Coturnix japonica: one gene and its partner. The protein of the gene in region 1 purifies or fractionates together with the protein of each later gene. This does not show direct contact. Links are inferred from orthologs where the notes say so. Each region holds a gene or a part of one and is shown in the gene's direction. Other genes may lie near its edges.

Region 1 (4,486 bases):
TTGTTTTTGACAAGGAAGTCAGCAATCATTTTGGGAGCTGTGACAGAGGAGTAACAGATGTCTACAAAGGACAAGTAGCAGAGGAAGAAGTACATGGGGGAGTTCAGGTGTTGGCTGCTCATCACGGTGACAATAATGAGCAGATTTCCCACCACGTTCATTGCATAGAAGCAAAGAAACATCACAAAGTACAGCCCCTGCACACCTCGACTCTCAGAGAGGCCGATGAGAATGAACTCCTTCACACGACTTGTAATCACTGCATTGGTCAGTTGGGCAGCCATACACAACAGACAGCCTGTGCACATGGAAAACCAAAGAGATGTCATTTGATATCATCATCATCACTAATAATGAATTCTGTACCAGAAACTGGGAAGCACATAGAATTACTATTAACCCTACAAAAGCATTGCTTTCCCCATTTTTTCCCCCTGGGTATTTCATTCTCCGCGAGTGAAACTTTGGCCATGGCTGTCATGTGCTCCTTCATCCTGGTCCTTTGGGGCTGTGAAGGACTGAGCCTACAGTCACTGTGCTATGAAGGACAGTGAGAGGCACAACAAAGGCGCAGGGCAGGATGTTTTCCCCCATTATAGTCCAAGGTTATGATTACAACCCTTGTGAGAACCCTTGTGAGACACCCATTTCCATTTCTGGCCTTCCACAGGGGCAACTGACACTGATACTGGTGCCTCCTTTGAGTGACCAAGATTGACTCGGACTTTTGACTCGGACTGATCCAAACTTTTGGTTTGGATCTCAGTTTGGGAACTCTCTCTCTCCACAATAGTGTTATATAGAGCTCGGTAAGCACAAGCCAAGCCCCAAATAAGCCATTCCTCCTCAGATCTTTCTGAGCTGCACCATCCCTTACTCAGATACTCACTTAGTTTCTCAGGGTCCCACAGGTGTTCAAGAGTAAAATCCCATGACACTAGGGGTCCCCAAGCTTCTAACCTCTTTCCTAGACCTCATCATATTTCCTGCCACTCACCATTCTCTGATTTTTGGGAAGGCTTCCTCTACATAACGTAAATTACTCTTGCAGAGCATACATGCAGACAGACTGATAGCATAGTACCTAAGCTGGCACCCTGAACGTGCATAAGGAACTGGGAAGAGCACTTGGAAACCAGTCCAAACCCCATATTGCCGTTTAAATTAGCTGGGATATACAGGGACCAGGCAGGTATCTCCATCAGCACCCTTCACTGATTATAGCTACGTGCAACTCCAACATAGAACACGAGGAGCTTAAAAAGAAACCAGTGTGTCCCAAGGAACATAACGTCCGCAGCCCTCAATACAATGCTTTACAACTGCCACAGTTCCGCATTATGTTCTGAAGTGAACCACAACAAATGCCCGGCTGATTCTCGAGCAGCAGCAGAGTTCCGACCTCCGGGACCTCCGGGGCCTCCAGGGCCTCCTGGGCCTCCCCTCCGGCCGGACCACTCCTCTGCCGGCCGCGCCTGCGCTGTGCCGGCGGAACGCGGAACCCAACCCGGCTCCTCCCCGCCGGAACCGCGGCCTTTCCCTGTCACCGCCGGAAGCGCTGCCGGCCGCTTTTCCGGTGTTAGTCGCTCCTGCTGCCCGCCATGAGCAAACGGAAAGCGCCGCAGGAGAGCCTGAACCAGGGCATCACGGACTTCCTCATGGGTATGGGGGGCGCGGGGGGCGGGTCTGGGGTTCGGCTCGACTGGTCCGACTGTGTTTCTCCCCGTAGAGCTCGCGAATTACGAGCGCAACGTGAGCCGGGCCATCCACAAGTACAACGCGTACAGGTACCGTCTCCTTCCTCAGGCCTGACCCGTTTCTTTAACTCGCTCCCGGCTCTCGGGGGTCTGGCCCGGCCTCGCTGCACGAGCCGTGCTGGGGGCTGAGCGCTGCGCGGCTCTGGGCTCTGACCGATGCCGTTCCGCAGGAAAGCGGCCTCCGCCATCTCCCGGTACCCCAGCAGGATCCAGAGCGGAGCCGAAGCGAAGAAGCTGGTGGGTCCCGGGGCGAATTTGGGCTTCTCGGGGTGAAGGAGTTGCGTTAGGACGGTACCGAGGTTTCCAGGAGGAGGGAAGCGATGTGCGAACGGCTCTGCCTGCGTCAGCTTCTGGCAGCCGGCTCAGGGAAGGGGGGAGCGGAGCGCATCAGCTGTGGGGGTCTCATAGACTTGAGCTGGGGACTCCAGCTGGTCTCTTCTGTGCAAGGCAGGTTTCCGCTTTGCTGTGTTGCTGTCTCACCAAGTTTGGGGAATTGGAGTTGCAGGAATCAAAACCCAGTTTAAAATAACTGTTTTCAGCGAGTTTGTAATGCGGCACTTGAAGTGCTGAGTTTGTGCTGCTTGTGTTGTACCTTTCAGTGCTCCCGATCTCTCATAGAACAATGTTTTAAAATGGTTTCTGTGACTTCACGGCTTTTTGTTGAGCTTTATTTTTCTTAGCTGTGATGGCTGTATGTGGCCTTGAAATTGACTTGTGTTTCATCCTTCCTCAACATTTAGGATGGAGTAGGTGCTAAAATAGCTGAGAAAATAGATGAGTTTTTATCCACTGGAAAGCTCCGCAAGTTGGAAAAGGTGTGTTTCTTTCCTTTGTGCTTTATTTCTCAGCAGTTGTTTTACTTTGTTCTTTGGGAATTGGTCTGCTGCTTTTGTGCAGCTTCTGTCCCTCTCTGTGGAGGGACTGATGTCAAGCACTCTGCAAAGTAAAGTGGGGAACAAGAAGCTTAGGCAAAGCCTCTGAACTGTCTACTTATATTTTAGATTGTACAATTGGCACATGAATGTCTTCTGTAAGAAGTGGAATGCAGGCTCTGGAAGGCTGTGGAATTGAGTTTTAACCACGCTGTTTACCTTAGTATGGGCAGTTAAGACAATTAATTTGCAGGAATGGTACATTGTGGCACCATCCTAATGCATAGTATTATTGTTAACACTGTTTTGTTCTGATTTACGGTAGGTCTCCAAAGCAGAATCTGACCAAGTTGTTTTATAAGCTTTCTTTGTCTACTGAAATGGAGTAAAGAAGAGCTTGTTCACATTATTATGTTCTTGCAGATTCGACAAGATGATACAAGTGCTTCCATCAACTTCCTGACACGAGTTACTGGAATTGGGTAAAGCTTGGTTATTATCTGTTAGTGCAGGGGGGAAGTGGTTGTTGTCAGAGTTGTAGAGCTGTCAGTTACAGGTTTTGCAGTAGAAGAGTGGAAGTAGAAAGCTCCTGTGTGCAAGCTGAGAGGGGAAGGAGGGAGGGAGGCGATCAGAAACTGAATCGGAAGGTTGAGAAAAGTAAAATCAAGAAGACATAGTAGGAGCCTGTGAGACTTATGGTGCAAAATCTGATTAGGGAGAATAGTATTTGTACCATGTTTGTAAAAGGAGATCCAGAGCCCTGCCAACCCCTCAAAAACAGGACTTTTCAGAAAGATTATATTAGGAGTTCTCAGGCCTGTTCTTGTTCCCATACTGTGCGTAGGGAAATTTTGGCAAAAAAAGAGCTCAGTCTACAGACAGGCACTTAATTTAGCATGTGCAGAGCAGCAGTAGTCAATATCTTGAGTGAGAAGGGCTGTGATACTGCTTGCCAAGAACAGGATTGGCTAAATATAGAATATCGGTGCTTAAAAACAGAACTGGGTGGAATGCTGTGGGGAAGGAGAAGCAATATTGAGACTGCCTGAGGTGGAAGGCAGGAGATGCAGTGGTGCTTCAGTAATTCTGAAGAAAGATTTGCTGAAAGGTTGTGGGTGTTTATGTTGTGCTTATGATAAACTCTTCAGCCAAGCTGCTTTTCTGTAGTGTAGGTTGCAAGCTAGAGTCTTGTGTAGATTTTTGTTTGTTTTTAAGTTGTAGTCTAAAGACACTTGCATTGTTGCCTTAAGCTGATTCAGAGGCTGTTAATAGTGAATGTAGTCCTTGTGCCTTCAGTTCCATACTAGTATTTGTCTAAAGCTGTGCTGGCTGTTTGGTGAGATTGTGTTGGTTTACTTTTTAAAATCATACATCAGTATGTAGTTCCATCAATACTAAAAATGTGCAGTTGGATAATTGTCTCTGTTGCTTGAAAACACAAGCTAAAATGTGCATGACAAAAGGATGATAAGCGCTGCAAGCAACCGTAATCTCAACCTTGAAAAATCAGGGCAGTTTGAGTGAACTGTGATGTCCTTTGTAGTGCTGTAAGGTTCCTGCTGTTCCTAATTGCGTGATGCCTTGCCTTTTTTGCAGTCCTGCTGCCGCTAGGAAGTTTGTAGAGGAAGGAATTAAGACTTTAGAAGGTGAGTATTGAGTGTAACTTTGGGTCCTCAGTTTATTCTCTGATAATGTTTCTTATGTTGCATTGCTTGTTTCACGGTAACAGTGTGATAGCAGATAAGCCTTTAGTTTGAGGAAACTGTATTGATAAAATAACAACAACTAGCTAATCTAAATGTAGTGCACAGGCTAGAGGCATTATGAGCCTGTTAGAGCCATTATTGAGCAACCTGT
Region 2 (4,474 bases), on another chromosome or scaffold:
AACTAAGAGTGTTATGTCAGCTTCACGATGAAGAAATGGATATGAAAGCCACACGCTTTGTCCCTGCAGCATTGTGCCACCTGCCTGTGCTCACTGCCCTTCATCACCATTCAGGGCATCCATCTCCTTCACTCACCTGTCCAAGAGGCACCAAAACCCTGCAAGATCAAGAAGAGCCAGCAGTAATTCATCTCACCCAGCTCGAGCCTCCGCAATGCCCTCTGCAGGCTGCTCTACCGATCACACGCAGCCTATTTTAGATCATTGCTGACTTTTAGACACTGAAAGTTAACAGAAGCGAATCCAACCACCGGCAGGTTGCTCAGCTGCCTAATTTCAACCAGATAAGGCAATGATTGCATCTGTAAATCATCTCTTGACGGCGCAACTTTTCATCAAGTAATTGGAACAATGAAAAATTGAAGTATGTTAAACTTCCCTACCTTTAGCCCTGCTCTGTCAAACATGTGGTCCTGGAGCTGCTTCTCACACACAGTGTTCTGTTCAGCATCCCATGGTGCCACATAGATGCCTTCCATGCACAGCCAGCAGCAGTTGTAAAGGACTCCCCCATCACCCTGAACCCGCTGCAGCTCATCATCAGGGCCTCAAAGCTGTGCTGGGTTCACCTGGAGAGCTCAGTTCTTCCATTTCAGGGCTCCCACCACTTTGGCACCACAAGGGACAGGCTGATTTCTCTTCTGAATGCAATGCACTGAGAGCAAAGTCCTGCACTCTGAATTACCGCAAATTAATGCCAACTTGCTGCTTTACAGGCATATTTTACTAGCAAGAAATGCTCACCTAATGGACATCATCCCAATTCTTCCAGGTTTTATCCTCATTCACAGCTCCAAATGGCCCACTCTGTGTAGGTGGAGATTAGCGTTCTAAGAAAACAAGGAAGATGGCTGTAATTCACCTTGTCCTTGCTGGAGGGCTGCAGTACAGCACTAACAAGACTGGTGATGTGAATTCAGAACCCTCCATCTCACAGACTGCATCAGACACACCGAGTGACAGCACAGCAGGTCAGGGATCCCAGAGTCACAGAATTATCAAGGTTGGAAAAGACCTAGATCTTCTAGCCCAACCATTCCCAATACTTCCAGGCTAAATCATATTCCTCAGCACCACATCCAAGCATTTCTTGAGTCATTGAGGTGATGAGGTGATGCTGCAGCACCTCGGGGCTGTGAGGGCTCCATTGGGCCGGACACAGAGCAGCACCTCAGGCCCACAGCAACACAATGCAAGGCAATGAGAGCCCCCAAGTGATTCAGCAACACCGCAGACCTGGGTGGGCAAAGCACAGTGCTCCCAGAGGGCACTTTGTGGAGCCTGAAGTGCCCGTTTGGGGTCGAGCAGCCCGTCAGACCCCCACCATCACAGCACAATATGGCGGCCGTGCGGTATCACCTCAGCGGCGCCACGCGCCGGAGCACGCGACACTGCCAGAGGCGGGAAACGGCGCGAGGCAGCAGCACGTGCAGCGATTGGGCGGGGCTGACTCAGGGGGCGGGGCTAACAAGGAAGGGGGCGGGGCCTAGTGGCAGGAATGGAGCACAACGCTCACAGCGCATGCTCGAACGGCACTTCCGGGATACCGGTAGGGGGGGGGGGGGCGCGGTGCTGTGCGCATGCGCACTGTTGTACGGTGGCCTGGAGGCGGCGGGTGAGGCCTAAAGCCGGGCGGGTTGTGCTGGGCGCTGTGGCGGTGATGGCGGCGTTGTTCCGCGGCCCAGCTGCCGGGTAGCCCCGCTCTGCCCCGCTCTGTCTCTCACAGGGCCCAGGCCGGGCTGGATGCTGGCTGCTCTGTGTCGTGCCGTTCGTGTTCTGTCGCTGTGCTGGCCCACACTCCGCTCGTGCTCTCGGTACCGGCTGCTGCTTTGCGGGGCTGTGCGCTGTGTGAGTTTCAATCCTTGTGTTGGTGCTGCTCGGCTCCTCGTCCCTCTGTCCGCACACACGGGGCTGGGCCGGGCCTGCAGTGGGGATATGGCCGAGCAGAGATACTGCGTGGATTACGCCAAACGAGGCACGGCCGGATGCAAGAAGTGCAAGGAGAAGATAGTGAAGGGGATGGTGCGTATAGGGAAGATCGTTCCCAACCCTTTCACGGAGTCTGGTGGGGATATGAAGGAGTGGTACCACGTCAAGTGTATGTTTGAGAAGTTGGAGAAAGCTCGGGCCAGCACTAAGAAAATTGAAGATATCACGGATTTGGAAGGGTGGGAAGAGCTGCAGGATGGGGAGAAAGAGCTCATCAGCAACCTCATCTCAGGTGAGACTGCAGGTGGGACACCAGGCACCGCACAGCTGTGTATTCACCTTGTAGTTGCACAATGGTTTGGGAGGGACCCTTTGGTTCCAGCCCTTTGCTGTGGGCTGCCCAGAACGTTACAGAATCACAGAATGAACCGGGTTGGAAGGGACCTCAAGGATCATGTAGTTCCAACCCCCTGCCTGGCAGGGCCATTCACTGTATGAGAAATGTCCCTCCATCCTCAGTTTGAGAACTTGCTTGTTCCAATATATCTTACATACATTCAGGGTTGCTGTAGATTATGACTGGCTGCTGGTTTGAACCCTTGACTTGCTGCTTTACAGAAGCTACGTCCAAAGCTGCGAGTACACCGAAGAAAAAAGCAACAGTTCAGGCTAAGCTCACAGCCACAGGACAAATAACCAGCCCCCAGAAGGACCCATTGGCTAATGCCAATCCGAAGAAGTTCTCTGGCTTCACAGGTGAGTCTTAAAATGATTCTGGGAAATCCTTCTCTTCCAATAGCAGCAAGTTGTTGTTTTGTTCCTTGTCACTTTAACAGTGTTATTAGGACAATGAGCTCCTGTGAAGGTGCATGAAGCAGAAATAAGATAGAAGCATCTGCCAGCAGGAGTTTGTTTTCATTGAGGCTTTAACTGTATTTGTCTGGTAGAGTTAAGGGAGAAAAATCCTGAACAAAATAAGTGGGGGGAAAAAAAATACATGTATTTTTTAATGTAACTAAAATTTAGACCCAGATTTTGGGGTAGCACATCATTATTCAGTTCTGAAGCTTCGTCACCGCAGTGGGTTTGTTCTCTTCAGATTACCTAATAGATGTGTTCTCGTCTTCAAAGTCTGCCTGTACTGTACTTATTAAAAGAACAACCTGTTGGCTTTCGTTCAGCCAAGCCCAAGAATTCTGAAGAAGTGTCCGCAAACTCTTCCCACAACTCCAGCCTGTCTGCAAAGAACTGTGATCCCAAGCACAAAGACTGTTTGCTGCGAGAGTTCAGGAAGCTCTGTGCTATGGTGGCTGACAAGCCTAGTTACAATGTGAAAACACAGATCATCCAGGACTTCCTGAAGAAGGGAAGTGGAGGAGGTACGATTCCTGCTTTGCCTTTTCTGCATGTGAATGCTCTCTCAAAATTAAAGTTCCATGTTATTATGGCAAAAGGAAGGGAGAATTAAAATCAGATTGTTCTTCAGGCTGCAAAGAGTGATTTCTGAACTGAGAATGACTGCAAAGTGAACTGCTATCTAAAGAACAAATGCAGATTAGAATGTCTTGGGTCAGAACTGCCGTGGTTGTTTGTAGATGCCCCCTAAATTAGCACCGGTATCAGATTTGGAGAGAAATTGTGGATCCCCTGAAAAATGTCCCTTGACATGTAGCAGAGCAGTGCAGTGGAACAAGGAAGACACAGCTGTGTTGGTTTTTTTCCCCTCAGTCATGTTAATGAGTACAAATAACCTGAGCCTGTAATGAAAATGAATGGTGACAGTTTCTAATGGTGTGTGCTTTTTTTCCAGATGGTTTTCATGGCGACGTATACCTGACCATTAAGCTGCTCTTACCAGGCATCATTAAAATTGTTTACAACTTGAATGATAAGCAGATTGTAAAGCTGTTCAGTAGGATTTTTAACTGCAGCCAAGAAGAAATGGTCCGGGACCTGGAACAGGTGAGTACAAAAAGCATCTCTCTTAATTTCTTTGTGCACAGGAGTTGGTAGCTGACTGTGCATGTATCCAACTCCATAGCAAGACAAAGAAAATGGGTGAATTCCTTCACCTTTGTTGTCTTGATATATACCTTGATATATAGAGCCTTCTAACGACACCACTGGACAGAGATTCTTGGATTTACAAATGGATTAATCCTGGGGAAATACGGGGCCTGGGATGCTGCAGCAGTAATAAATAAAATACAGCAGTCAGATGATAGTAGTACTTCTGCATGCATTTTTGCAAGTGAAGTGGCTGAGCAGATGTATTCTGTGTCATGGCAGCTTTATTCTGATGTTTGGCTGCAGTTCCTTCATGCAGTTGCAGCATTGTTTCTGTGCTGTCCTGTGCTTGCTGGAATCATGTTGAATCTCCAGCAGTAGCTTTCCCATTTGCTCTGACCAACACCCTTGTTTTCTTCTTGGAGACAGGGAGATGTTTCTGAGACAATACGCCTCTTCTTTGAGCAGAGCAAATCTT

The links.
Region 2: the proteins of POLB (region 1) and LIG3 purify together in Homo sapiens (affinity purification with mass spectrometry; 3 studies listed by BioGRID and IntAct, counting the BioPlex papers as one, with this or other methods). This does not show direct contact. The link is inferred for Coturnix japonica from reciprocal best matches to the Homo sapiens genes POLB and LIG3.

The regions. Positions count from the first base shown.
Region 1 is NC_029537.1:4,115,187-4,119,672, reverse strand, and holds the start of POLB (DNA polymerase beta), read left to right. Parts: upstream 1-1,524; 5' UTR 1,525-1,601; coding exon 1,602-1,662; intron 1,663-1,729; coding exon 1,730-1,787; intron 1,788-1,927; coding exon 1,928-1,994; intron 1,995-2,497; coding exon 2,498-2,572; intron 2,573-3,052; coding exon 3,053-3,111; intron 3,112-4,225; coding exon 4,226-4,275; intron 4,276-4,486. Other genes in the region: olfactory receptor 4S2-like, read right to left, coding at 1-329.
Region 2 is NC_029534.1:3,402,520-3,406,993, reverse strand, and holds the start of LIG3 (DNA ligase 3), read left to right. Parts: upstream 1-1,648; 5' UTR 1,649-1,803; coding exon 1,804-2,281; intron 2,282-2,607; coding exon 2,608-2,745; intron 2,746-3,170; coding exon 3,171-3,368; intron 3,369-3,799; coding exon 3,800-3,951; intron 3,952-4,425; coding exon 4,426-4,474. UniProt on the Homo sapiens protein: Isoform 3 functions as a heterodimer with DNA-repair protein XRCC1 in the nucleus and can correct defective DNA strand-break repair and sister chromatid exchange following treatment with ionizing radiation and alkylating agents.